Caenorhabditis elegans: one gene and its partner. The protein of the gene in region 2 interacts with the protein of the main gene of each other region in a pairwise test. Each region holds a gene or a part of one and is shown on either strand. Other genes may lie near its edges. The genes, in order: jac-1 and nova-1.

Evidence for each region.
Region 1: the proteins of nova-1 (region 2) and jac-1 interact in a two-hybrid assay, tested with the Caenorhabditis elegans proteins (one study listed by BioGRID).

Annotation. Positions count from the first base shown.
Region 1 is NC_003282.8:16,023,318-16,031,572, forward strand, and holds the start of jac-1 (Fibronectin type-III domain-containing protein), read right to left. Parts: upstream 3,531-8,255; coding exon 3,376-3,530; intron 3,237-3,375; exon of another isoform or gene 3,212-3,236; intron 3,116-3,211; exon of another isoform or gene 3,095-3,115; intron 3,072-3,094; exon of another isoform or gene 3,051-3,071; intron 2,839-3,050; exon of another isoform or gene 2,818-2,838; intron 2,673-2,817; exon of another isoform or gene 2,652-2,672; intron 2,490-2,651; exon of another isoform or gene 2,463-2,489; intron 2,312-2,462; exon of another isoform or gene 2,291-2,311; intron 2,254-2,290; exon of another isoform or gene 2,233-2,253; intron 2,105-2,232; exon of another isoform or gene 2,081-2,104; intron 1,735-2,080; exon of another isoform or gene 1,714-1,734; intron 1,451-1,713; exon of another isoform or gene 1,427-1,450; intron 1,278-1,426; exon of another isoform or gene 1,257-1,277; intron 1,246-1,256; exon of another isoform or gene 1,220-1,245; intron 579-1,219; exon of another isoform or gene 555-578; intron 463-554; exon of another isoform or gene 442-462; intron 281-441; exon of another isoform or gene 260-280; intron 42-259; exon of another isoform or gene 21-41; intron 1-20. UniProt on the Caenorhabditis elegans protein: May act as a positive modulator of hmr-1 function during epidermal morphogenesis. Required for proper localization of other junctional components, such as pac-1.
Region 2 is NC_003283.11:18,077,809-18,086,063, forward strand, and holds the start of nova-1 (K Homology domain-containing protein), read right to left. Parts: upstream 4,099-8,255; 5' UTR 4,023-4,098; coding exon 4,016-4,022; intron 2,233-4,015; exon of another isoform or gene 2,148-2,232; intron 449-2,147; exon of another isoform or gene 361-448; intron 1-360. Other genes in the region: fbxa-106 (F-box domain-containing protein), read right to left, coding at 4,650-4,838, 4,884-5,526, 5,576-5,663, 7,274-7,319; Y59A8B.12 (MATH domain-containing protein), read right to left, coding at 8,008-8,239.

The DNA of each region.
Region 1 (8,255 bases), on a different chromosome or scaffold from region 2:
TCAAGTTTTATGTTTCTTATTCACATCAGCAAGGTACTATATTGACTAAAATTCAATGCTCACGTTTAGATACTTATTTGAAACTGCAATTTTTTTTTTCAAAAAAAAACTGTCAAATTTCATTGAAAACACCTTTCTGTAACAATCTGTAATTTTTTCAATTTAAGAAAAACAGCTATTAATAGTTTTCGAAAAAGTTCAAATAAATTGATAATTAATTATTTGAAAATTTCAGATTGAATGCAAATCTATTTGTCACAAGTTATCCAGTATATGAACATTAAATTTTTGAAAAAAAAAAACAAATTATATGTTTCGTTTGAAACAGTACTTGGCAGTTTTTTGTTATTTTTAAAATAAATCAGCAGTGAACTGAAATTTTAAAAAATTCACTGACAGCCTAAAACAGAGAAATAATTTCAGATTAACAGCTTATTTTGTCCGCTGGAATGATTTTTCCCACTAATATTTGAAACATTTTCGAAAATATATGATCTATTTGAAACAATGTTAAGAAGAAAAATTGTTATGTGAAATATCTAAAAATAGTATTTAGAGAAATTTTAGACAAAATAACAGTTAACTAAAAAACTTGAAGAAAATTCAACAACATCTTGAAACAGTTTTTTTTTCGAATATTCATAGTTAAAACTGAAAAAAACAGGATTTTACACAATTTTTTCTTTTTTTTTTAGAATTCATCTTTCTGTTGAATTTTAGCAAAAAAAACTGTATTTAAAATCAATTTTATGTAGAGAACGTCGTTTACAAAACTACATGCTCAAAGAAACATCTAAAGCAGTGGAAAAAAAGTGTCTCCCATTCTTCAGAAAATCTCTCCACAGTAAAAGAACAAAAAGTCATCGGAAATGAGAACGGCGAACGCAATTTATTCATTTGTTCGTCCCCTCTCTTCATCGAGGACATTCTCTCACTCACACCTTTTTAACCTTCTGTCTCACTCTCTATTTCTCCACTCTCTCTACACACTTTGGCAGAGTGCCAACGTGCGGGAAGAGAGTGTGAGACGCAGAGTGGAGAGAGGGAAATGACATATTGTTTTAGATGGTCTCTTGTTTGCCGTGGAGAAATGGACCGTTTGAGACAGGGAAGGGAAGGGTATTTTCGATTACTCACACCTTGCACATCCTTGCATTTCCAGTGACGTCATCGGGAACCAATTGTCAAGTTTTTAAAAATTGCTGTTTTACTGTTTCATTTTATCCTTATCAATTGTGCAATAAAATAACAGCTAATCAGAAACATTTTCTCAAAGTTTTGAAACAGTAATTTTAATTTAAAAATTGAAATTTCTTGAAGTTTTAAAAGCAAATTTATGAATTTTCACCGTTTAATTATTTTGAAATATTAAAAAATTTTCAGGCAAGGATTCCATGTATATTATGAAACTTATATGGGTCAAATTTATTTCAAAGGTTAAGTAACAATAATATGAGTTTAACTTGCAAGTCGTTAAAAAACATATTGAAATAGTTTTTTTTGCCAAAATAAAGTGGCCTCGATAAAACTTTCATTAAGCAAACATTTTTTTTGCAAATTTTGAAGAAAATTAACTTGGAATACACTTAAATAAAAACTGCTATTAAAACATTCAAATGTTCAATTTATTCTTATTTATGGTAGGCTGGTTACATTAAAAAATTTTTAACTTGGTTTTGCAGTTTCAGTTGCATATACATTGTCAAACAAAAATTAGATTTAACTATTTTTGGATCTGATAACCAAAAATGTTCGGAAAAAAGTATAAACCCTTGAAACCGAAACTATTTTTTTCAATTTCTAAAGTTTTGCCGCAACTCAAAAGTTGCAATAAATGACCACTAGCGTCGTCGTTCCAATCCAATGATATACCAATAAAACATAGCCGAAACGAATATTAATGACAATAATAAACATTTTGTAGACCTGGCTGAGAGATAGTGTGGGATTTGGAGAGACGGAAGACACAACACTAATCCGATGCAAAAACGGAAAAAATAGGACGGACTGTTTGTATTTGGCGGCGGTTAGGGTTTTGAAACGGCTTTTTTGGAGGGAATTAAAGAGAGGTGAGATGGGAATATCGGATGAATTAATGGCACTATCTTTAATCAATTTAAGTAGTTTTATCTAAACAATTTGAAACAGTAGAAATTTATTTTTCGCAGTCGAGAATTTTAGAATACCGACTTTATGCAGAATTAGGTTGCTTTTAGAGAAATTATCAACTTTCAAAATATATCTGGTTTCCGACTGCCTTTTTATTTTCGAGAACTAATATGTTAAGCAATAGAAACAGTCGGAAAAAAGTTTCCAAAATTTTTTCCTTGACAAACTCCGATTTTCTATTTTTTAACGAAATATTTTACTACTTTTCAGAAAGAAAATTTTGAAATAGGCAACTTTTAACCAGTAATTTGTTTTACAAAAAGTGGTGGAACAACGGTCAAAAAGTGGTTGATTTCTCTGCGTTTTGTTCAAGAGCGAGAATGTCACTCAATTCAGAGCAGTTTTATCTTAAGGTGTAAAAACAGTAGAAAAAAGTTGATACCAAATTGTAGAACAAAACACTTTCTGTATTATTGCTTTGAATATTTTGGATTTTCATAAATATTTTAAAGAGAAGATCGTAAGCTATGCAGTACTACTAGAAAGGACAGGCACTTAAATCAATATTTAATGGAAAATTAAAGGTTTTATTTGGGAAACTAGAAAAAGTAAAAATAAGTGTTAGATTTTTTAGCTAAAAGCCGAGATTTGCTGTTGTTATGCAGAATTAGTTCGTTTTTGAAAAAATACACTACTTTCGTTTCAGCTTGTCAACGAGACCCTATGAGACTGCCCTTCTATTTTGGAGCAGTTATATCTTAAGAACTAGAAACAGTTTTTTTTTTAATTTTTAAACTTAATTTCTAGTTTCGGAATTTTAACTATTTTTTTAATACGCAATCAGTTATTTCTTTTGTTTTTTTTTAATTTTAAGAGTATCAATTTGAATGTGTGAGATTATTCAGAGAAAAAAATCGAGATCATATATAATAAAAACTTATCTGTTTTTCTTTGATGTCAAAAAGAGCTTAGATATTTTCAGTGATATCTAAGGAACTTGAAACTTTAGAACATTTTGTTGGCTGAAAATTTAATTTTCTTCAAATAAATATGTTCTATGCCCAATTTTTAAGTTAGTTTTTGATCAATTTTTCATTTCTGGTTTTGAAGTTCGATTTCAAAAATAAGTGCTTTTCTATTTCCTTGTACTACTTCTCAAGAACCAGAAACTGCAAAACTTTTTTTTTCAATTTCAAAATTAATTCAAACTTTGAGATCTCTTTCAAACCCCTCCCAAAAATAAAAATTCCAAAAAAAAAAACTAACCTAACTAGCGTATTAATCTGTTCCGAAGTGTACACCTCCTTCTTTCGCATCGTCCTTTTAGCGGTATCCGACATAGCTCCCCACTCGGAGCCATCCGCCTCGGTTCCCTCCTCTGGTATGGGCTCCATTTCTTGCATCCACCCCGAGGAGATCATCTGTAAAATGTTGGGATTTTGAGGAGGAATTATTGATTATTTAAAAAGTGGACGGAGAGTTGAGAGAAAATGTTAACAATGAGACATCAGATATGGTTTTATAACAGTGCTTATGAGTACTATGTGAAAAAGTGAATTTTTTTCAAAATTTTTTTTTAAAACAAAATTTCACCTATTCACATTTTCGATTTATTTTGCAAAAATTTCACGAACAATTACGTGATCTAGTTCCGAATAGAAAAAATAACATTTTGATATGCATTCAGGAATAATTGTAAATTTTAGTATTCTATGGAGAATTCTGTTAAAACCTTGAATTAGCAGTTTTAATAGAAATCTCAAAATTAATTATGACAATTTTAATCAATTTTTGAGTGAAGTGAGAATTTTCATACGAAAAATATATATTTACTGCATCGTAGTACAATTAGTTTTATTATAAAATTAGCTTTTTTTGTGAACATTCTGAAACAGTACTTGTCAGTAGAGTAGAGAACAAAACAGACCGATTTTTGAATAATTCTTGAAACGGCCAGTTTTCTCAAAATCGAAGCGTTTTTCAATTGAAAACAAAACGATTTAAGACATTTCTGAAACGGTGAAATTTGTTTTTTCGAAAATGCAAAAAACTCCACAATTTTTTCCAGAAATCAACGCGTATTCCGGATTTCTAGCAACAAAAAACGTTATGCGACGAAGATAATACATTTTCCTCTTAAGAAATTAACTTTTCAGCAGTTGTAGAAATTTTTTTGAAAAATAATGTTTCAAGTTATCCATTTATTATCGTAAAATTTGCTTCTACATTGAGTACAGCTCACATTCAAAAATTGGTAATTCTTTAAAACTTTCATTGAGAAACTTTCTAACAATCAAAAATTCCTAAATTAATTGAAAAATTTTGAAAACGAATTTGACGATTTTCTGCACAATTTCGGAATTTTCGTAGAAAAATTTCAAAAAAAAGCTTTTTTTAAAAAATATCATTTTTTGAAAAAAAAACCGTAAATTATGAAGAACTGTTAGTAAACCGAGTAATATTACAAAAATGCAGATGAAATTTTGGGAAAAGTCAAACATTTTCATCCAAAAGTCATTTTTTTCAAATTTTTAATAATAATTTTAATTATTCTGTAAGAATTCAACGTAATATGCCACGTGGAAGAAAGTTTAGGATGGAAACAAATCTAATTACTCAAGTAAACACCATACTGCAAGTTAAAAAATTTATTTGTTTATATGTTACTTTTGAAACGGCAAATTTTTTTTCCAAAATTGTCTTTTTTTTAATAGCGAGATTCATGGAAAATATAAAAATGCTCCAAAACTTCTATTTTCGAAAAGAACAGTAAAACCAAAAAAAGCCAAACCAAAAATATCATAATTATTAATCAAAGCACCCGTCTCCCATCGGAGGTGGTAGACAATTGGTGGGTGCAAATAAATTTTTTTTGAGCAAGATTGATGAGCCGCGATTTGGAGGGAGCCGCTGAGGATCCCAGTGGGAAAAGTGTAAGAGAAGGCACTTTTTGGTGGGAAATTTGAAAAAAATTTAGGATTAAAATTGTTTCTGTTTCAAAATGTTTTCAAAGTTAAAGACAAAGTTAATGTGAAGTTTTATCTCAAAATGTTCATTTTAAGCGAGGTTTTGTTTTTAAAATGTTTGCTGTCGAAATGGCTATGCAAATTTTAAATCAAACTCATCAGCTCCTGCCGATTAGGTTTCTTTTCTTCGGTTGTTACATAACCCTACAGTAATCCCTAAAATATTGTAAATAGCGTTTTAGGACTTCTCCCAGCTAAGAGACGCAGACAACAACAGAACCTCGATCGATGTCGGCTGCGTTTTTTTTTCAGAAAAATTTCACTTTTTCATATTCATCATGTTTTCAAAACTTGTAATGATGAGAATTGTTGGCCTTCGAACGGAACAAGATATCGCAGCTGCGTCTCTCAATCACCAGTACTGATAGTATTACTGTAGGTAGTACTGTAGGGGTACGGCAAAACAGGTGTTAGAAGAAATTTCCTAAAGTCTCTTTAGCTGCAGTTAAAAACTAGCAGAAACTACTTAGAAACAGTTAAAACCATAAAATTTGACTTTTCTGGTTCAATCGGAATTAGTTAGAAAAAATTTGTAGCACTGTTTCATGTCATTTTCAAAGATTTACTACAGTTATTAAAAAAAAAGAAAACTAACGAGTTTCAACAATCGGAATCAGATATATAAGGCTTGTAGAGAAATTGAGAAATTGAGAAACAGTAGAGAAATTGAAACAATCTTTGAAAAAAAAAACAAATTTTGACTGTTTCAGTATGTTCATAAGTTGGTTAACACAAATGACAATGTAATCTGATGATTTTTCTATATTGAAACTGTTTAAAAACAAACAAATTTGACTATTTCAATATGCTCATAATTTCTAGAACAAATATTGTTAAACATTCGGAATGGGTTCAAGTCAGCAAAATTTTTTTGGAAACATCAGAGAGGATTCGTGGTGAGCCCTTGTATTTCTAAAAAAAACTGAATTTTTAGTAAAAATTGCGAAATAAGAATTTAGTTTGAACTGTTTCACAATGTCTTTAACTTCTGAAAATTTTTAAAAATAGTTCCGTCCATGTTTATCACAAATTCAAAGAGAATACTTAAAACATATTTTGAAGAGTATTTTTTTCTAAATAAAAGTATCAATTGAACCATTCCACTGTTTTTCACGATTTTCTCAAAAAAAAAGTCCACTGTTTCAATGTCTGCATAATGGCGGGAATACAACTTTTTAAATATTGAGTTTTAGATAAGTTTGCCACAAAACAAATCTGAAAATAGGCTTCAGTTGTAATATGTGGTTAGATTCTGTAAAAAACATAACAAATATCTGTTTTCACGCGCAACTATTTAGGCCAGCGCGTAGGCCGTTTGACAGGCACGCATGCCTGAAAGTGTGCCTGCTTACAGCAAAATATCATTCCAATAAAACTGCGTATAAAGTGTAAAAAAACGAAATTTTTAAAACTACAAAAAATTACTGTTTCAAAAAGTTAGTATAAAAATTTACGACAAGCGGAGTGATTTGTTTTGTCGCTTTAGGTTCAATTCGTCTATAAAACTTTTGAAAAATGCTGAGCAACTTTGTTTTGCTTTGGAAACAATTTTTCCACAAATTTTCATGAAAATCGTCCAAAAAAGCCAAAAAACTCCCCATTCCTACTTTGGAAATCTACTGACGCATGCACTAATCTGGGATTCACCTACCCTATAATTTCCGCCATTTCGATGGTAATCACTCATATTTTTTAAAATTTCGAATATAGATTCGGATGACAATTTCAATTGAAATCAAACATTTTCCCACATTACACAGAGAAATAGAGAGATAGACGAAAAAATGAGAGAAAAAATGTTCCGTTTTTTGTTGTTGTTCGAGGCGTGCACCTGCGGTGCAGGTGGTGTTGCATTCGGTGGGAAATGTGAGAAAAATGAAATTTTTAACTTTTTCAGAGAGCTGTGAAATTAAAAAACAATTCAAGTAATTTGTGAAGCGGAGAAAAAATGGCAAAAATCATATAAATAATAAACTTTTTAAAAATTGTACATTTTTATCAATCATTTGAAACAGTGGAATTTTTTGAAACTTTTTCAAAATGAATTATACCGTCCTATATATTTCAATGAGCTTTCTGCCAAATTAACCAATAATGACTCGAAATCAGAGTTGTTCTCTGAAGTTACAATGAAAAGCATTCAAATCCTGAAATTAATAATGTGAGACTTCCAACTTATTTTATGTCAATTCATTGAAACAGTGAATTTTTGGTCAAAAAAATTTTTTTTTGAAAAATTTTCAAAACTATTTTTTTGTATCGGGGCATATAAAAAGGTACAAATTTCTTCCAATTGAGCCTTTTGCACCGAATATGAGGTGGTTTTTAAGCTTAAAAATTGCTTGAAATATGTAATGGATGTACCTTTGAAAACGTTTTTCTTTCACAAAAAGGTCCGAAGCCATATTCAAACCTTCAAAAAGCATCGGTGCAACATATTACATTACCCAAACACAAGCCTTGCTCCTACTTTCGGTCAAATATATGGGACTGGAAATTTTGAGTTCGAAAGTTTTAAATACCAAAAAAAAATTTTTTGCAATTTTTAAAAATTAAAAAAAAATTGCCACTGAAAGAATCGAACACGAGACCTTTATTCCGTTTTACCAAGCATTTACCATTCGGACATCAATCCCTGATTTTTATTGTTTTCAATGTTTTAAACCATTTTATAAATATTGAAGATGATTTTTGTATATGTAAAATGAATAAATACGAAATAGTATTGAAAACTAGGAGGGCGCAGAGAAAAATTTTCAGATGGCGCTTTCAGGGGTTCAGAGTTGAGTTCCGCCGCTAAAATTTTTGTGGTGATCTAGGCTAACCATAAGCTTTCAAATGACATACGTCTCGATTCGAAGTCCGGGACTAGATTGACTTCCTTTCCTTGTTAGTTAAACCTTTTGAATCATAAAAAATGAATTGAATTTTTCAGAATTTTATTCTTGTCATTGACTAAAAACTTGAAAAACATCAAAACTAAAATTTTTCAGCACAGAAAACTTTAATCGGCTACTTGAAACAGTATCAGATTTGGATTTTTTTGAAAACGCTAAACTGGATCAAAAGATGTTTCCAGCAACATTGCCAAACCTAAAACGGAATTTATTTTTTAAAAAA
Region 2 (8,255 bases):
AACCGCAAATTTTTGCAAAATATGTAGTTTGTAGTGTGGCAGACCAAATTGGTCTGCTAGGCTACAAACTACAAAATGTATTTAGCAGACCATCATTTTTTCCGACTGAATTTTGCGTTTTTAGGTGAAAATGAGCAGATTTTCAGGGAAAAACCCCGTTTTCCACAGAAAAATTGTGGTTTTATGCATAGTTTTGTGGCTAACTCCAATAATTTCCGTGTGAAAATCGATTTTTTGAGTAATTTTTCGAGAATTTTCACTTTCAAATTGTGAGGAAATGCAAATTTTGAGATTTTTCAGGAAAACTGCTCAAAATTACAGCAAAATTGACGTTTTTATTTAACTAGTTTTATGTGTAGTTTGTAGTCTGGCAGACCCATGCGCTCGATTTGGGTCTGCTAGACTACAAACTACACGCTGTAGAGCTAATTTTCGTACTTTTGAAGGGATTTTGAGGGGAATTTGCAGTTTCTCTAAAGAAAAAACTCCTTTTTTGCGAAAATTGGGGAATCTGAGTTTTAATTGAATTTTTAGAGTGCACACTCGCTTTTCCCGGCAAAAATTCTGACTTTTCAGGAAATTTTCCCGAAAATTCACGAATTTCAACAAGAAACACCGAGAAAATCACATTTAAAACCTAAAAATCCGGAAAAATCGATTGAAAATGTAGTTTGTAGTCTGGCAGACCCATGCGCTCGATTTGGGTCTGCTAGACTACAAACTACACGCTCTAGAGTTAAATTTCGCAGTTTTCAACGGATTTTTCAGCAAAACTTGCAGTTTTTAAAGGAAAACCGTAGAGAAAAACCGATTTTACGATTATATTTGATAATTTAGAAGGAAAGCTCGATTTTTGAACGAAAAATTCGTATTTTTTGCAAATTTTCGCACAAAACTCCGAGAAAATCGTGTAAAAAACTAAACATGTGTAAACTTTCGGATTTTCAGATGGTATTTTGGCGAAAATTGTGATTTTATGCAAAATTCTCTGTGAAAATTGATTTTGTGAGTCAATTTTCGTGCATTTTTCCTTAAAAATTCCGAGAAAATGCAAATGTTTGCATTATTCCCGCGAAAAAATCATCAGGAAAACTGCTCAAAATTACAGCAAAACTGGCGATTTTTACCAAGTTTTATGGTCTGCCAGACTACATACTACACAAAATGTATTTAGCAGACCCAGAATCCATTTTTCTTGCATTTTTTATTGATCAGCGTTAAAATTTGCAATTTTCGTGATTTTCAACCCACTTTTCAGCAAAAAATTCAGCTTTTGAAGAAAAATCGTAGAGAAAAACCGATTTTACGATTATATTTGATAATTTAGAAGGAAAGCTCGATTTTGAAACGAAAAATCGAATTTTTTGCAAATTTTCACACGCAATTTCGAGAAAATCGCGTAAAAAACCAAAAATTTGTACGAAACCAAAAAAAAAAACGGAACGCGTCCTCCTTCGAAAAAAGAGCGCGTAAATACGAAGAAATGAGTCAGTTGACGGACACAATGATGAGATGAAGAGACGGCAGACAACGAGAGGTTCCATGTTTTCTCTCGTCTCTCTCAGCTCTCAATGCTCTCTAATCGTCGTCACTTTTTGTCCCTCGCCAACATCGAAAATCGATGGGATTTGTTGGTGGGACACTTGGCAGCATGCCAAGTGTTATTCGGAGAGCAGATGGCCAAAAAGAACGGCGAGAGCGGGGCAATTTGGCAAAAAAAAATCGATTTTTTCCTAAATGTGGGAGAAAATTAGCGAATTTTAATGCTGATTAATAAAAAATGCATGAAAAAATCCAAAAATTCGCGAAAAAAAAATGGATTTTGGGTCTGCTAAATACAATTTTTGTAGTTTGTAGTCTGGCAGACCATAAAACTTGGTAAAAATCGTCAATTTTGCTGTTATTTTGAGCAGATTTCTGATTTTTTCGCGGGAAAAAAATTCAAATCTTGCATTTTCGCGGAATTTTTCAGGAAAAATTAACGATTATTGCCTTAAAAAATCAATTTTCACACAGAATTACGCATAAAATCACAATTTTTCGCCAAAAAACCGTTTAAAAAAAATGCATATTTTTCTATGGGAAACCGAGTTTTTTCCGTCTAAATCTGCTTATATTCACCTAAAACGCAAAATTTCGTCGAAAAAAATATGGGTCTGCTAAATACATTTTGTAGTTTGTAGTCTAGCAGACCTACTCTCAGAAATTTGGTCTGCTAGACTACAAACTACAAAAAACGCTAGCATACCAATCGAAAAATTGAGAGATTTTCGTCAGATTTTGAGAGGAAAATGATTTAAAAACGAGGTTTAAAGCAATTTTTCAAATTTTTTTCAAAAAATTCCAGAAAAACCGGCTTTTCTGGAATTGGGGAGGAAAATTAGTGAATTTTAATGCTAATTGGTCAAAAATACAAGAAAAAATAAAAAAAATTCGCGAAAATTTTTTTTTTGGGTCTGCTAAATACATTTTGTGTAGTTTGTAGTCTGGCAGACCATAAAACTAGGTAAAAATCGTCAATTTCGCTGTGATTTTGGGCAGTTTTCCTGATTTTTTCGCTGGAAAAATTCAAATTTTGAATTTTCTCGCAATTTGAATATGAAAATTCACGAAAATTGACTCAAAAATCGATTTTTACAGAGAAATATGAGTAAAATCACAATTTTCGCCAAAAAACCGTCTAAGAAAACGAAAAATTCATATTTTTCTATGGGAAACCGAGTTTTTTCCGTCTAAATCTGCGTATTTTCACATGAAAACGCAACATTTAGTCGAAAAAACTATGGGTCTGCCAAATACGTTTTGTAGTTTGTAGTCTAGCAGACCCACTCGGGTCTGCTAGACTACAAACTACAAAAAACGCTAGCAGACCAATCGAAAATTTGAGAGATTTCGTTAGATTTTGACAGAAAAATTGATTTAAAAACGAGATTTAAAGTAATTTTTTAATTTTTTCAGCAAAAAATTCCAGAAAAACCGGTTTTTCTGGAATTGGGGAGGAAAATTAGTGAATTTTAATGCTAATTGATCAAAAATGCAAGAAAAAAATCAAAAAAATTCGCGAAAAATGTTTTTTTTTGGGTCTGCTAAATACATTTTGTGTAGTTTGTAGTCTGGCAGACCATAAAACTTGGTAAAAATCGCCAATTTTGAGCATTTTTTCCTGATTTTTTTGCGGGAAATATCTCAAAATGTGCATTTTCTCGACATTTTAATGTGAAAATTCACGAAAATTGACTTAAAAAATCAATTTTCACAGAGAATTATGCATAAAATCACAATTTTCGCCGAAAAAACTCTGAAAATACGAAAAATTCATATTTTTTGTCGGTTTTCTGTGAAAAACTGAGTTTTTTCCTTTAAATCTGCTTAATTTCACCTGAAAACGCAAAATTTAGTCGAAAAAGTGATGGGTCTGCTAAATACATTTTGTAATTTGTAGTCTGGCAGACCCAATCTCAGAAATTTAATCTGCTAGACTACAAACTACAAAAAACGCTAGCAGACCAATCGAAAATTTGAGAGATTTCGTTAGATTTTGACAGAAAAATTGATTTAAAAACGAGATTTAAAGCAATTTTTCAATTTTTTCAGCAAAAAATTCCAGAAAAACGGGTTTTTTAAGGCAAAATTCAGTTTTTTAGAACTTTTGTAACAATAAAAACTGCAATTTTACCGGAAAACCAGTAGAATTTAAATTTTAACTCATAAATTATACAGTCAAATTTTAAGTCAATTTTCTTGCAATTTTCGTCAAAACGGCGTAGTTTTACCCAAAAACTTGCTGAAAAGTCGAAAAATCTGGATTTTGGCGTAAATTCCACCATTTTCAGCCGAATTTTTCCGATTTTTATCGAATTCAAACATTATTTTGCCGGAAAATAAGACAAATCAAACAATTCTGTGAGAAATATCAATTTAGGATGGAAAAATTGCGGAATTAATGGAAAAATTGAATCCTAAGAGGTATTTTTTTTTTCGAATTTTACCTTTTTCAAGTTGAAAAAGCACGAACCTTCCATTGCGCTTGTTAATTCCTTCAGTTTTTCGTCGAAAATCAGCAAAAAAGCGCCGAAAATTGGGTGAAAAGTTCGAAAATTGGAAAAAAATTTATTTTTTTTTATTGCGCCGTACTACGGTAGACAGAACACGCCGTGCGGTGTTTGCGGAGTTGTGTACCGTAGTCCGGTTTTTAAATTGAAGTTAATTTAAAATGTTTTCAAAATTATTGATTTTTAATGAAATTTCCTGAATTTTAGAGTCAAAAATTGGTTAGAAATCGTGAAACTTGAGAGAAAATCGTCGAAACTCTCAATATTCCGGGTTGAAATTCAATTTTTCATCTATATTGAAACAAAAAATCATTTTCTCAAAAAAAGAAAATCGTGAATACTTGAGGTTTTGTATAATTTGCACCGGTTATCCATGCATTTCCATGCAAATTAGTTAAAAAATCTAATAAATTTCAATTTTTCACTTATAGTTTTTCTCACAATTTCCAGCAAATTTTCGGGAAAATCTCCACTTTTCAACAAGGTTTGCAATTTAATACAAAAATGTCTCAAAATTGTAATTTAACAAGAAAAAAAACAGATTTCAACAAAACAGTTTATTTTAATGAGAACCACACGAGTGAACAACAGTTTAATTTATTTCTTCTTTTCGATTTTGATAGAAATATGATCGTATAAGAGGCTGAAGTGAGAGCCATTGTCATAGTCAACGCGAAAAGGTCTTCTAGCAATGAAATTTGGATTGAAAACTCGCACAACTCCAACGCTGAAGATATTTCTAGAAGTGATGATTCCAGACTCAAAAACAGTCGATTTCAAGAGAATCTGGAAAAAATGACAATTTTTTTGAAGGAACATTAAAAAACTAACATCTCTGATTTTAACAGCATCAGCGACAGAAAGATACGCCGTATCAATGAAGAAGTGGGTAAGATGGAAGAGATTTTCAATTGGGAAATGCTTCTCTCCATATGAATCAATAAAAATCGACTTGGCTCTTTTCCATTGCTCCATTTCAAATAATTGATCGACGTAATCTGGATTCCCGCTGCAGTAAATGCAAATTTCTTCTAGAAATCCTGGTTGAAGAAGCGGAAAAATTGTTGCGGCAAAAGTTGGAAGATTAATGGAAAAGTCGATTCTTTTTACCTTGTAGAGGTTTTTTGAATCGGACATTTCTTTGAACCAATTCATAAATGTTTCCTTCTTTTGAATACGATCATATCCTTGGAATTCAAGGACTTCCAATTGAAGTTTCGAGTTCTTCATCACCACTGACAAGTCTGTCTCAGCCATTTTCAAGCCGTTCACTCCTTTAAAGCGCTCATTCCGATCATTGTAGTTTACTGTGCAATGCGAATGACTGAAATCATAGTGAATTACAGTAGATTTTGCGTCAAGCAGCCACATCTGGAATTGAGAGTGATGGATGTTAAGTACAACGCGCTTGATTCCAGGATCCTTATTATCGACGATTGCACGAAAGTTGCGGCAGACTTTACGGACAGAAAGCCTGAAATTTTCAATTTAATTAATCCTCCAAAAACTAGTTCTGATTATACCGTTCGATTGGTTCAACCTTTTCCACAATTTTATGAATGACGTCCAATGGCAAATTCGACATCGATGGAGCCTTGGAGCACGGCCTCTCTCAATTTCATTTATTTCAAAATTCCTCTTTTTCTCTCACACTCTCTCACGTGAGATTGAAAATTGAATAATATATGTGTTTTTAAATTAAATTCAAAATATTGACGAAGAAACAACTTTGGTATAAATACTGATTTGTTAGGACCGATACCAAATGGTAATTTTCGGACATATTTGATCTCGTAGACAACGGCTCACTATTTCAGTGATCTTTAAAGTAATAAAAAATTCTTCAAAGTTTGGTACAGAGAAACTGAAGTAGTTACATTTGTAGAAACTTACATAACTTATAAACCTACCGTATTCCTATCGTACCCAATTACCGTATTTCCTCTATTAGTCTTGAATGCAAGACTAATTTTCAATTGACCCGTAGGGGTGCAAGACTAATAGAGTCCGCATGACTGATTTTCGATTGGTCCGTAGGGGTGCAATACTAATAGGGGTGCAAGACTAATAGAAGCTGCAAGACTAATAGAGGAAATACGGTATATTTTTTGTCGTACACTGATGGAAAACTGATGAGACTTTCCCGGCAGGGTTCACAAGCTGAGTTATTCATTGGTGGCCTCGGTTTCAGTCGGTTGCCGACTGTAAAGACGGGATCCCGTACGGGAAAAACAAAAAGTGACATATGAAAAAGGTATCAGACGGTACTAATCCAGACTTTGTTATTTTTTGCTTCTTTGAGATGATTGTGCAAACGGATAATTTCGAATACCTTCGTGGTATCTCTATCAAAGTTTTTCAAAGCATTGAATCTTTACATAGCTTAAACTATGTATTTTGTGAGAATAGCCAAGTATTATGAACATAGAAAATGTTTCTTGTGTTATCAAGATTATTTTTGTAGTTCAAAGTTTCTTGATAGCTTTTCTGGTTACCGAGTTATATGTTTTCAAAAGCGTTCACATCAACTATTATGCTTGCGGTTGTCCAAAAATTACAATCGCATTGTCTTAAAACTGAAGTTACTCAATCAGTTTTTGATCAAATCAGGTGATTGACATCTTAATCTCTTCCTTAGAGAATTTTGCAACTTTTGGTGAGGTTGAATTTTTGATTATGTCTTGGTGCGTCTCGTAAAATTAGGAAAACCCGCCAAAAATTGTCGTTTTTTAACGATTTTTGGAGTTTTCAGGCCTAATTCTTGTTTTGAAGATGCCGACGTCAATTTTCATCAAAAAACCTTCATCAAAAACAGAAAATAATCAGAAAAAAATTATCTACAAAATGGTGGCCTTCAATTTTCAAATTTCTCTTTTCAAGGATCACTAGAGGTCCCGAAAAAATCCATTTTTTGAGGTAGCCTTTTGTTTTTCCGTCTGCCGGCGTCGTGAACATCACTAACCTAGATATTTGCATAAAAATAGATACACTTAGTCTTAATTGACAATATATTAATAAAAAACTTAAAGATTTATCAGCGAATCGCCGGCTTTAATCAGTTTTGTCTGGAAAATCACTAATTTTGAACTTTCACATGTGGGCGTATTCATAGGTGATTTACAATTTTGCCCTTTTTCATATAATTTCTATGTGTTTGATCAGGCAGTTAGTAAATTTTTATTAGATTTTGTTCACTATCAGCCGTTTCCGGCCTATTTTACCGTTTTCAGTACAAATTCGGCTCAAAAAGCTCACTCTCTCGCCCATGAGAGACACAGAGAAAGTTCATCACGTCAATTTGATTTATTTTTTGAAATGAAGAGAGGCCGTGTTGGAGCTGAAAAAAAAGTTTTAGGTTTGAATTCGAGAAAGTGTATTTTTTCTTAGTTAAATTCACTGAAAATCCGTCAAATTCTCATAATTTCAGTCCACTCAATTTATCAGTAGATGTGGCAATTTAAACCGTAAAATTCTTACATTTTCAACGAATTCATTTTTTCTTCCAAATTATCGGTCATTTTTCTGGCGAAAATGTTCTTACCAAGGGAAATTGCCAGAAAATTGAAAAGAATAAGAGAAAAATCATACGAAAAGAAACATTTTGTTATAACACTCTATTTTTCAGCAGAAATTAGCAAAAAAATCGCACTTTAAACGTTAATCTCTACTTTTAAGTGAAAAACAACCAAGAAAATCTAAAAATGAGCCAGAAGCTCGTCAATTAGAATGCCGAGTACGCAAACACTTGATATTGCGTACTTCGCCGACTACAGTACTCCAACAGAATTTATTTCGAAATATTTGATTTCCTTTACGGAAAACTTGAGAAAATAATCATAAAATTGGTTAAAATTCAATATTTCACTGATAATCGACAGAATAAGAAATTAATTCAAAGTATACACATAGTTACAATTAAAAATATATCACAAATTGCATAAATTCAAGTGGAAATTCAGAAATCAATATAAGCAGTAATCTTGATGGCTCCATTGTCAGCAGGTTGGTCAATTCGCATTCCGAATGTATGATTCCGTGAAGAAACTGTCACATCAAAGTTTTCTCCGACTTTTACTTGTCCATATTGAGCTTCCAGCAGGAATTTGCATGGGATTTCGTATTGTAGCCGAGAACGAGTGACCAGCTGTGTGTAAAGTTGGCCTCCGTCGCTGTGAAGAATGAGATCCCTGGAAAAATTAAGGT